Danio rerio: one gene and its partners. The protein of the gene in region 2 interacts with the protein of the main gene of each other region in a pairwise test. Links are inferred from orthologs where the notes say so. Each region holds a gene or a part of one and is shown on either strand. Other genes may lie near its edges.

Region 1 (4,111 bases), on a different chromosome or scaffold from region 2:
CTTTTATCTTTCTGACTATGTTTTCTACCTTATTCCGCTTTGTAAATAGCTATAAATATCTTGGGGACAACATGTCAAGAGATGAGGCTTAGCCTTGAAGCTAAAATGAAAGGATTAAATAAAAGTAAATTCATAAAATGAAGATTCTGTTAATGTTTTCTAACTTATATATTATTTACCTTATATGTCCACATAGCACAAAAAGAAAATGTTTAATAATATATTTTTCAATTTTTTGCATGCAGTGGAAGAAAGTCTAATGTTTCACAGGTGTATATCAGAGTTTATTAAAAAATAATATGGCATTCTAGGGCTGCACAATATATTGTTTCAGCATCGGTATCGCAATGTGATCATTCGCAATTGTCACATCGTACGATATGCAATGTTGAGTCTATATTATTATGTTATTATTATAAGCCAGAATTTACATGTTTTTTTTAAGCCTTTGACTGCATTCACGGCCAAGAAACGGTACCGTTTGTAACTTTAATAAAGATTCATTTTATTGAATTATTATTATTATTATTATTTAGTTACTACACCAGAAGACTATTAGACTCGGAAAAAGATAAAAAATTCAGTCGTATCTTGTATTTTTTTTATTGCATTGATCTATGCTTGAAGGTGGTTAATTATATTTTAGTCAGGTGCATTTCTTATCTCAACCGAACCAATCTAAAATAATTAATCCTTTCCAAATCGAAGTATTCAAGTCTTCTGCTAAAATGGTAATCATATCACAATATCGATTTTTCCAGTAGTGTGCAGTTCTAACGTATACAGTGTAATTAAGTTAAGATTTATGCATGATTTATTTTTATTTGGTAGTCAGTCAGTATTTTATATTGTCCTGTTGTAATTTCTGCTGATGATACGGTTCTCATCTGAAGTTTCAAAGAAACCCTATTAGTAGTTGATAATTAAAATAAAACACATTTAACACATACACTCGCCGGCCACTTTATTAAGTGCAATTAAGGGTTAAAGCAGTTCCAAAGGCAAACGTGTTTACAACCCGGTACTAGTAAGTTGTACCTAATAAAGTGCCCGGTGAATGTATCTGTTAATGGCCACTCAGAGAACCAAAATTAACTCTGATGCTGTTTCTATTTTTCAAAGCTGTATGTTTCGCTGTTTTTTTAACATGCAATGTTTGTAAGAACACAACCGTGAATAAATAATAACAGACAGTACATTTTTGGATAAACGTTTACTTTAACGTAGCATCTACTGTAATATCACAGCCTGTTATGGAGCATATTTCTTTATGCTATTAAGCGAAGCTGAATGTAAACATACAGTATCTCCATCTGCCATGCAGGATTATCAAAATCAAATGAAAACACTTGAGCAGAACATTTCTCAGATCAACACCTGGATGGATCGCGCAGAAGAGAAGCTGGATGAGATGGACAGCCAGGGCTGCATTGAGCACGTTATAAAGGTCTTCAGACACTCACAATATGCTTCTGCACTTCACAACCGAATGTTTTCTGTTTTTGAGGACTAGAGACGGTTTTATGCAGCCATACTTTTGCATCAAATTAAAGGAAAAGTTATCCATCTTTCTTTGGCAATGATGTTTTGATGGCTCATTAATTGGAGGCAATTTGCAGCAAATAAAACTCTAGATTAAGCCATTAAGGAGAACAAAACAGACAGATGGCCAAAAAATTGTATTTTAGATTTAGAATACAGATCATCATTCATCCGTACCATCTATACATTAAATATAACCGTCTTTTGTAACTTATTACCTAAATATTTGGTAACACTTTACAATTTGTGTAAGTTAATGAATTAGTTAACATGTATCAATGACGAAAAACACATTTGTTAAGCATTACTTATTCTTTAATGGTAACTAAACATATAATAACATGTTAGTTGATGGATTAGTTAACATGAACTGAAGGCGAACAATGTTTGTTCAGCATTATAATCTTTAATAGTTGTTAATGTTTAATTGCAATGCAATAACCAGAACAATTAAGTTACAGTAAGTAGAATTTTTTTTCTGTTTGTAACAAGTGATAAAAACTAGAAAATCTAGAAAAATTTAATTATAAAAACCAGTAAATTAAGTTGCTGTAACTATAATAAAAAACTACTTCGTTAGTTAGTTAGTTCTAACTTAAATGTTGTAATTAGCACAACTTAAATTTTCTAGCTAATGCAACTCAATTATTCTAGGTCTTATACTGTAACTTAATGTTTTAGTTAGCACAGCTTAAATATTCTACCTAATGCAACTCAATTATTCTAGATCATATACTGTAACTTAATTTTGTAGTTAGCACAACTTAAATATTCTAGCTAATGCAACTCAATTATTCTAGGTCTTATACTGTAACTTAATGTTTTAGTTAGCACAGCTTAAATATTCTACCTAATGCAACTCAATTATTCTAGATCATATACTGTAACTTAATTTTGTAGTTAGCACAACTTAAAATTTCTAGCTAATGCAACTCAATTATTCTAGGTCTTATACTGTAACTTAATTTTGTAGTTAGCACAACTTAAATATTCTAGCTAATGCAACTCAATTATTCTAGGTCTTATACTGTAACTTCATTTTTGTAGATAGCACAACTTCAAATTTTTAGCTAATGCAACTCAATTTTTCTAGGTAATATACTGTAACTTAGTTTTTGTAGTTAGAAAAACTTAATTGTTGTAATTACTGCAACTTTTTTTCTAGTTACCGCAACTTAATTTTTCTAGTTCTTATAACTTTTTTTGTAGTTCTCATAACTTACTTTTTTGTTACTGCAATTTAATATTTTTTTTGAGTTTTTAATTGTCAAGTGTAATTGTATTTTTTTTTTTTTTGCAATACCTATGAATTAATCAGATTTATAGCATTTATTCTAAATGCATCATTCATAACTGATTTGTTGGTGTTTTCTGAATGTTCAGGGTTTGCGAATGGAGTTGGAGGAGATGAAGGGGAAAGTTGAAGCAGTGCAAGTTCTAGCAGAGGATCTTATAAAGAACACAGGGGAACATTGTAAAGCTCAAGTGAAACCAAAGCTTGAACAGCTTAACCAACGTTTTGACATTGTTGCAAGAAGGATTTTAATGGGACAGGTAATGCTATGAAAAGGTGCATGCCTATACACTACCTGACAAAAGTCTTGTTGTCAATCCCAGTTGTAAGAGCAACGAATTATAACTTGACTTCTAGTTGATCATTTGAAAAAGTAGCAGAAGGTAGATTTTTCAGATGAATCAGATCAGATGAATCAGTACTGCAGAAGACCTATTGAAACCAGCATGGACCAAATATTCTCACTGAAAGTAGTCAAGTTTCGAGAAGAAAAAATCATGATTTGGGGTTACATTCAGTATGGACCAAGCTAGAGATCTGCAGAGTGGATGGCAACATCAACAACCTGAGGTAACAAGACATTTGTGCTGCCTATTACATTACAAACCACAGGAGAGGGCAAATTCTTCTGCAGGATAGCACTCCTTCTCATACTTCAGCCTCCACATCCAAGTTCCTGAAAGCTAAGAAGGTCAAGGCGCTCCAGGATTGGCCAGCCCAGTCACCAGACATGAACATTATTGACCATGTCTGGTAAGATGAAGGTGGAGGCGCAGAAGATGAATCCAAAGAATCTTGATGAACTCTGGGAGTCCTGCAAGAACTCTTTCTTTGACATTCCAGATGACTTTATTAATAAGTTATCTGAGTCATTGCAGAGATGTTTGGATGCAGTTGTTCAAGCTCATGGGAGTCATACACAATATTAATTCTCTTTCCACTGCACCATGACTTACTGTACATATACTGCACATTATTTCTGTTAAGTGACAAGACTTTTGTATAAGCAAAGTCAGACCTTGCTGACCTTATTAAAGAATTAAAAATCAAGGCATGATCATGTTTTATTTTGGTAAAATAAGAGTCACCTAAGCCTTTGTCTTTCATGCAAGCCACTTCTGATACCAAATGATCAACTAGAAGTCAAGTTATTATTTGTTGTTCCTAAAACTTTGATAGGCGACAAGACTTTTGTCAGGTATTGTACTGTATATGCATACACTATAAAACATATGCTGGGTTGCCGTAACCCAATGTTGGACAATGTACAATATG
Region 2 (4,548 bases):
AGTCTCAAAAATAATACATTTATAAAATAAAATTCATACACAGATCACATTTACTAAATTTAATTAGTAAATTCAAGACACAATTCATAAACACACAATCCAATTAGTAAATTCAAAATAATTTAATAAGGGTGGCATGGTGGCACAGTGGGTAGCGCTGTCGCCTCCCTGCAAGAAGGTTGCTGGTTCGAGTCCCAGCTGGGTCAGTTGGCATTTTTGTGTGGAGTTTGCATGTTCTCCCTGTGTTGGGGTGGGTTTCCTCCGGGTGCTCCCGTTTCCCCTACAAGTCCAAAGAGGAATTGGTGAATTGGGTAAGCTAAATATTCCATAGTGTATGTGTGTATGTCCTGGTCCTCCAGGTTGGGGGTTGAGCGTTGGACTAACGACCCACCTCGTAAAAATTAGATGTTACAAAACACCAACATGGTGGGGCTAAATATCAACTTCGATATAAATGGCCTTGGCAGTACGTTAGTAAGTAAAATAATTCATAAATACACAAAGCACGATTTGTAAATTTAAAACACAATTCATAAATACACAAATATAATTCATAAATTCAAAGCAAAGTTCATACATAAACAAAACACAATTCGAAAATGCAAAACAAGTCATTAATACACAAATCCAATTCGTAAATTCAAAATGTAATTCACGAATATGCAAATCCAATTTGTAAATCCAAAACACAATTTACCAATATGCAAATCCAGTTTGTGATTTCAAAACACAATGCGTGAATATAAAACACAATTTGTAAATTCAAAACACAATTCTTAAATGTACACATCCCGTTCCCTTGGGGAAACATTTATAAAATTTTCACATGTTGTGTTTTGAATTTATGAATTGGATTTTCTGAATGTGAATGGTTGTGTATGCATGAGTTTTATTTTTGCAGATGTATTACTTTTGAGACTGATCTGGCTTCAAAGTTAATGCATTCCACCAAGTTTTGTAACTGGGATGAGTTTTGACATAATTTAAGTGCTTTTACTGTGTATATTTATTATGTACAGTTGCAATCAGAATTATTAGCCCCCCTTTGAATTTATTTTTCTTTTTAAAATATTTTCCAAATGATGTGGTAAATCCAAATCCAAATGATAAGGTAAATCCTATAACATTACGATTATTTAATCGCTAGAGTACTGTAAATGCATGTTTATATAGTATAGACATTATACAGTTTTATTTTTATTAGCTAATCGAAATGTTATAGGATTTACCATAATTTCTCAAAATAACAATAATCGATCTCGGTTTTTATGATAATAAAAAATTTTGGTAAATCCTATAACATTGCGATTAGCTAATCGCTAAAGGCTGCTATGTGAATGCATGTTTATATAGACAGTGAACAGTTGAAAATTTGACATGGTTCTCGCAGAGATTGAGACAGAGATCGAGATTGTTATGTTGCGATTGCAATTTCTTTATCGATTTACCGACAAATATTCAAATAGCAGTTTAGTTTTTACCGTGAGTTTTGCCTTATTCTGTCTTCTGTGCTATTAAATGGACGTTTTGTATTGTGTAGAATGATTGAAGAGGGAAGTAAAAGCAGCAAGTCTATGGTGGAGAAGAGACAGCTCTTCATGGAGATGAGTGAGTTGCTTTCACACACTACACACACACACACACACACACACACACACACACACACACACACACACACACACGCACACACACACACACACACACACACACACACACAGAGGCTTTGTCGAATCCTATTCGCCCTTCAGTGCCACAGGGCAGTAGACTGGGACAAACTAGTGTCTCTGTTCGGAAGGCAAAACTAATTTTGAGAAAACCCCATATCAGGTCCCAGTAAATCTGTCCTCTGTGTCTGATTTGTACTTTATAGCGAGTACAAATGTTACATAGCTGTTGAATTTTTTTTTCCATGCCATTACGCACTTTTAAAAAAATTGTCTATTGAAAAACACTACATCAATGAATTCCTGAAGTGTGTATCCAACACACACTTTACTATATTATAAGGCCATAGAGGATGCAATACAACTGGTCATGTGATTATCTTTTTTTAACAGTTTGGAAATACATTCAAATTCAATAACTTACTTGAGTAGTTTGCAATTTCACACTCAGCTTCTGAGTAAAATACATGGCTGCTTACCTTTATGTTTTGATGTCATCACTGGGAAATGACCTCATTTGACCTCACTTACTTTAATGATTTGCATGAAAATGTTTAAAACAGGATACTGTATTTAAAGGTCCCGTGAAGTGCTTTGAAATCTGCTCTTTTGTTTCATGTGTGTCATAATTTCAAGGGTGGGACAAGAGAAGCTTTTTTCCTTTAGCCAATATCAGTTTCCCTTCTTCCCAAAAACAGCCAATAGCATTGCGTTTCATCACAGCTCTGCCAGTGAGAGTAGTTTAGCTTAAGTGCATCAAATGAAAAGCAAATGAGAGGTAGGGATGCAACGATTACAGATTCTGGTTGTACGTTTATAGTCTAAGGGATAATCATGGTTATCACGATTATTATGCACTCATTCATTTCAAAACACTAGTTTAGAAAATCCCATGAAAACTTAAAGTTTTTTTTTTAAGTGCTATTTATTGCTGCTCTGTAAACTATTTATACAGCACAACAAAAACAAACAATATAAAAAATGAAAACAATGAAATAGTTTTTACATTTAAACGTAATTAATAATTTTACAGTGAAAATAAAAATGACAGAACAATGAATAAATAAATAAGTAAATAAATAAATAAAAATAAGAGAACACATGCAGTCAAAGGCCGCTAAACTTCGGTCTGAAAGGCACTATTGATCAACTATATTATGAACTTCTTTGGTATTTTTCTTTTGTATTGTGTTTTTTTTTTAGAAATGTCTATATTTCATACAAAGTTTGAAGCTGATTGGTCAATTCTTGTCACATGACTTGCAATATCAATATGCGTGCACCTCCATTAAAAAAAATAATGAACTTGTGAAACCCCGTCGGTCTTACGCCACCCAACCCGCCCCAAGCTGGTATCAAACTGGCGACCCTCCGCATGGGAGTCGGTTGCTCTACCAAGGAGGCTAAAGACCATGGCCTCTAGCGTCTGTCGCTAGAGCACCTTTTAGAGGTCAGAGGAGTGAGGTTTACCTGCACAGCACACACTAGCTGGCCTCCGTTACACTTGCGCCTGCAAAACACAGGATTTGTAAACGGCCCTTATTAGTCTCAGCCAAAGTTAAAATCTTTAATCCAGTATGTATACATACTGGTATACCGTGGCCAAGTCAAGGTTTTAAAACTGGCAACATTTTCTGCTATACCGTTCTTATGGTATATGCAAGCTTTTTTATTAACTTTTTTTTTTTTTTTTTAAGTTTTTGAGGACAACAGTATCTCCAGCAGAAAAGAAATCTAAAGAAGCCGTTTTAAATTGTAAAGAAATCAGTGTTTTTAAAACTAATGAAGATTAGTTGAAGATGATTCATTTGAATTATTTAGTCTGACATGTTTACTGTTCCAAAATATTTTAAATAGTTCTCAAAATAAGATCGATTGTGTTCACAGGAGGAAAAGGTTTAGTTTTTTACCCAGACATTTAAAAAGAACATGTTTTAGAGCAGTAATCACAACACCGTCAAACCATGAAATCATGATATTTTTATTCAAGGTTATCATACTGTCAGAATCTTATACTGACCCATGCCTACCACATATTGTGTACAAGCTCGGAACTTTATACTAGTGGCACACATTTGGCATAGCTTTGTTTAGTTGCAGTTTTGTTCCACGCAGAAACGTGGTGTTGAGAAGCCTTTACGATTAATTAACCGTGACGAATTAAAGCGTGGTTAACAGTGAAATCCGTTACTCGTTGCATCCCTGGTGTCTTGAAGGTGCAGGACAACTCAGATACTAAAAAGCATTTGATTGGTCAAAAGAACTGATGAAAAACTGAAGGACGGCAGAAGTGACAAACTTCAAGCTTTGGATGATTATATCTTCTAAATGCAAATTTAATCACTGTTTTGGAGCACACTCATTTGTAGATATCCTTAAGACTTAAACGTATTGATACTAACTTCTTAAACGCTTTATTTTGATTTTACAGGGACTTTAACAGGTAGCTATCACTATACTGGTGCAAAAAGAGCAGCCATGACATTCTTCAAATTGTCTCTTTTTCTATATTATGGAAGAAGAAAGTCTTATATAAAGGAAACAACATAAGAGTGAATAAAATAATGTCAACATTTTAATTTTGTGTGTGAAAGTGACAAATCTGATGCATGTAATTTTACCCAGGGGCTCAAAACTTTGATGTCATTCGCCTTTCAACGTACAGGACAGCATGTAAGCTACGATTTGTCCAGAAACGCTGCAACCGTAAGTTGTCATGTCTTTCATTTGAATGTATCATTGAATCCCCTTGTTTAGCAAGTACATTTGTTCTCGTGTGCTGGGAAAATCAACAAAATACATCCATTGTTTATTCTGGATCAGTGTTTCCCAACCGTGTTCCTGAAGGCACACCAACAGTACACATGTAACATCAAACACACCT
Region 3 (4,111 bases), on a different chromosome or scaffold from region 2:
GGTTGGGGTTAGGGATTAGGTAGGTAAGAGCGATATTACAGTTTCAAATCACACTACTATATATTAAAATTTACACTGGTAGCATAATCTGGTGGGTAGCAAATCAAATTAATTAAATTACTGAGATTTACTGTAAAATAACGGATGCTAAGTTAAAATAATTTCTTTAAATGTACCGTTGTTATTTTATTTTATTTTTTTACTTAACGTAGCATAAAACAAATTTTATTTTACAGTGTACCTACTTATTAAATGGGAAGTAGGACAATCTGAAAAGGTAGAAAAAGTTGTCAGAACACTGGGTTTTGGGTGGCCCCTGCCATTGGATACTATACCAAAGTTGCTGACCCAGGGGTGTTACAGACTACCAAAAAGCTGAGGACTGGTGGTGGGGTGAAATTACAGGAGTTTTCTGGTAAAAATAACAACATGGGAGGGTGGTGGGAGATGGGTCTGAAATACGGGAGTCTCCCAGGAAAAACGAGAGTGTTGGCAGTTATGCATTTGATTAACATTTTAAAACAAAAAAAGCCCCAAGATAATATTTCATTTTAAATATTTTGGGTAGAAAACATACAAATGAAGACACACAAGGAAAAATCTTCCAAGAAGTGTTTTTTTAATTATTTCATACTGTCACACCATGGATTAATTTAAAAAAGTTTTTTCCACTTAATAGTAACTTATCAAAAGTAGCGAAATGTTTATTAAAAAGAAATGTAATATTTTATTCAGTGTGCCATGAAATTCAACATAACCAAACTGAATCAACCAGATTCTCCCCTTAGGTAGTATAAAGTAACAAATTACAAATACTCAAATTACTGTAATTGAGTAGTTTTTCTCAGGAATTGTAATTTACTAAGTTGTTTTGAAAATGTGTACTTCTAATTTCCCTTGAGTATGTTTTTAGTGCAGTATCTGTACTTTTACTCCACTACTTTGCTTCAACCTGCAGTCACTACATTATTATTTCTTGTCTATGGGGATTAGAAACATCAGTCCTGTGATTCCTGTCCAATCAGAGCGCACACAGAAGGTAAATCGCTTCATAATGAACTACCTCAAGACATGGGAGATTTATAATTTCTGCAAACTGTTTGAAAGCACCAAAAGTCTCCAAAAAGATGTCCAAAATCTTTACACGCATTGACCCAGAGACTGTTTAGATGCATGTCTCTGATGAAAAGATAACAGATGTTTACTGTATGATAATCGAAATAGCCTTAAACACCAAGCAGGCACATGACGTCAGACTGGAAATAAAAATCGTGTAGAAATAAGAACTCAACGTCAGGCCAACGTCAATTTCCAACCTAAACCAACCAAATATCAAAGTCTAATGATATTACAGCTTGACGTTGTGTGGACGTTACCACTATGACATCTATCAGATGTTGGATTTTGGTTGCCATACCTGATGAATAAATGGTATCTTTTGATGTAAATATGAAGTTGGTTTAAGATGTTGGCTCAACGCTGAATTTGTCACTTTCTAACTTAACCTAAAATCAACCAAATATCAACATCATTTGACATCATATTGCACATCAAAAAACATCCTTAGACGCTGGCTAGATATAGAATTTTTGCCACCTGACATCACAGTCTAAATCTAACCTAATATTAACGCCTTATGGTGTTGTGTCTGGGCATTAACTAGATGCACTACAGAATGTTACGTTTACACACATCCACAAATTAGATGTAAACGCATCAGTTTTAAACAGTGTAATACTCACTAATCTTAAAAGGGCTACTTTTTACTCATTCTTTGAGTTATATTTACAACAGATACTTTTACTCGCACTACATTTTTAGGCAAGTAATGGTACTTTTATGTGAGTACGATTTTTCAGTCCTCTTTCCACCACTGCATGACACTAACAAGAAAACAGACTTTATGCACTCCAATGAAAAGCATTATAACACTTGTCTGAATTATTTATTTCGTGTTTATTGAACAATTTCTCATTAAACACATAGAAAAAGTAACTGTGTGAATTATTTCAGCCTTATCTTTAGCATATTTTTATAATATAGGGGAAATCAAACACTAATCGTGAGTATTTGATTGGATAAAAACTGGCAAGCTAAAATGTAGGATGAAGTCATCAAAACAAAACCATAACTATATTGGTGAACTTTTAAATTAGAATTGTGTCGTTGTTTTGGAGCATATTATTTTAAAGATAATCTTAAAACTTCAATACTGATTTCAGGAGGAGATGCATATGCTAGGGAAATACAAATGCACCACGTATCAGGACTAACCAGTGCAGTCAGAAAATGTACAAAACTGTTTTTGTTAACTTACCTCGGATAACTGGGCTCTGTAATGTGATTTATTGCACTGCAAAAGCTGTGCAGCAAGGTTACAGTCTTTTCTGTACAAGTCCTGTGCAGAGCGGGAGAAAAGGAACATTAGGTAATCTAAAGCAAACCATCCTCCAAAGGGTAGCCGCTAAGCCTCTGTGTGCAAAGGGAAATCACATAGTCATTATTTCTCTTACATTGTCCTCTCTGAGCTTCTCAATGGTCATCTTGGCTTCCATGAGATGATTGTTAAGAACGATGATTTCGCGACTGAGAGCCCGTTTCTCATCATCGTGGTGCTGGGACTAGATGAAAAGGAGAATGTTTTCAGGTGAGGAAAAAAAATGACAGATACACTGCAAAAATGTTTTCCTTGCGTAGATTCATGTCTTGTTTTCAATCCAAATATCTAAAAACTCTTAATTCTATAAGCATTTTTTAGACAAGCTAAAAATTAGGTCTCATTTTAAGAAATATTGTCAAAATTAAGTGAGAATTTTTCTTAAAGCAAGCACAACAATCTGCCAGTGGGGTAAGCAAAATAATCAGTTGTCAAAAAGAAAAACATGAGTATTTTGATTACCCCATTGCAGGGCCGGAGTGGGACTCCTTTTCAGCCCTGGAGTTTCAAGCCTCAGACCGGCCCACTTCAGTTCACGACTGACTATAATAAAATAAGGTCATTTCCAAATCAGTTTCTAATGACACTATCACGTCATTTTTTGAGAAAAGAGCTGCTTTAGAACTTCAAATGTTCAACAACCCTAACAGTATCATATGTCTTAACAATAAAAATGAAAACAAAAAGTTACTCTAACGAGGGTCGAACCCGGGTCCGCGGCGTCTTAATCTAACGCACTAACCGCTGGTCCACAATAATGGTGTGTAGATAGGAGACAAAACTGAGTTTTATAATCATTAAAATAGATGAAAAGAGAAGAGTTGCGGTAAAATAATGAATAAAAAGGCTGTGGTCAAGTAAATAAATAAATTTAAAAAGTGTGACTGCAGAGAGCAACAGATTCTGCAGCTAGGGACACCGGCCCTCGCGGCCAAAAAACGGACCGGCCCACCGGGAATTCTCCCGGTCCTCCCGATTAGCCAATCCGGGCCTGCCCCATTGGCATACCTGTCAACCCTCCTGTTTTTCCCGGGATTCCCCCATATTTTACAGTTCTATCCAGCTATCATCTCGTAAAGGTATTTTCCCGTATTTCTACCATATTTTCAGTCTTTCTCTGAAGGGTGGCAAGTAGACATTAAAGAGCCGATCCTCCCCATACACAACCCATACCGCCGAACCACCAGGGGCTGCCCCTCGCTCATAAATATGAGTCTGTTCTATGCTTTCGATTTGTTTAGGCGAGAAAACACTTTGAAATAAATATAAAAAAGATGCGATTCCCTTTCTTTTTATTACAGGTGCCGTCACCCCTCATATGCTATCCTCAAAACAGTAAAAATTGCTTTGGTGACTGTCCAGCCTGATCTCACAAGAAAATGTAAGTATTTTACGTTTTGGCAGTTCAGTGGCTAATTCGTACAATTCGTACGAGTTCAGTCGTAAGAAAATGTATGATTTTAAAAAGGAGGCGTGGCACCTTACCGCACCCCTAAACCCAACCGTCATTGGGGGATACGCAAATCATACTAAAATGTACGAATTAGATTGTGCGAATTTGTACGAATTAGCCACTAAATGAAAAAGTTACGAATTGCCGTGAGATTGTGTTGGACTGTCAGCTTACGCACTCCATAGTGATAAATAGACGCTGTTTCCCAAACGGATTCTGAA

Evidence for each region.
Region 1: the proteins of dtnbb (region 2) and dmd interact in binary tests that used the Homo sapiens proteins (3 or more experiments, as listed by UniProt). The link is inferred for Danio rerio from reciprocal best matches to the Homo sapiens genes DTNB and DMD.
Region 3: the proteins of dtnbb (region 2) and si:dkey-174m14.3 interact in binary tests that used the Homo sapiens proteins (3 or more experiments, as listed by UniProt). The two-hybrid records come from large-scale screens. The link is inferred for Danio rerio from reciprocal best matches to the Homo sapiens genes DTNB and BEGAIN.

The regions. Positions count from the first base shown.
Region 1 is NC_133176.1:12,343,356-12,347,466, reverse strand, and holds part of dmd (dystrophin), read left to right. Parts: intron 1-1,324; coding exon 1,325-1,447; intron 1,448-2,925; coding exon 2,926-3,096; intron 3,097-4,111. UniProt on the Homo sapiens protein: Anchors the extracellular matrix to the cytoskeleton via F-actin. Ligand for dystroglycan.
Region 2 is NC_133192.1:39,015,782-39,020,329, reverse strand, and holds the start of dtnbb (dystrobrevin, beta b), read left to right. Parts: upstream 1-1,541; coding exon 1,542-1,608; intron 1,609-4,289; coding exon 4,290-4,370; intron 4,371-4,548.
Region 3 is NC_133195.1:9,575,418-9,579,528, reverse strand, and holds part of si:dkey-174m14.3 (uncharacterized protein LOC563117), read right to left. Parts: intron 2,622-4,111; coding exon 2,514-2,621; intron 2,399-2,513; coding exon 2,318-2,398; intron 1-2,317. UniProt on the Homo sapiens protein: May sustain the structure of the postsynaptic density (PSD).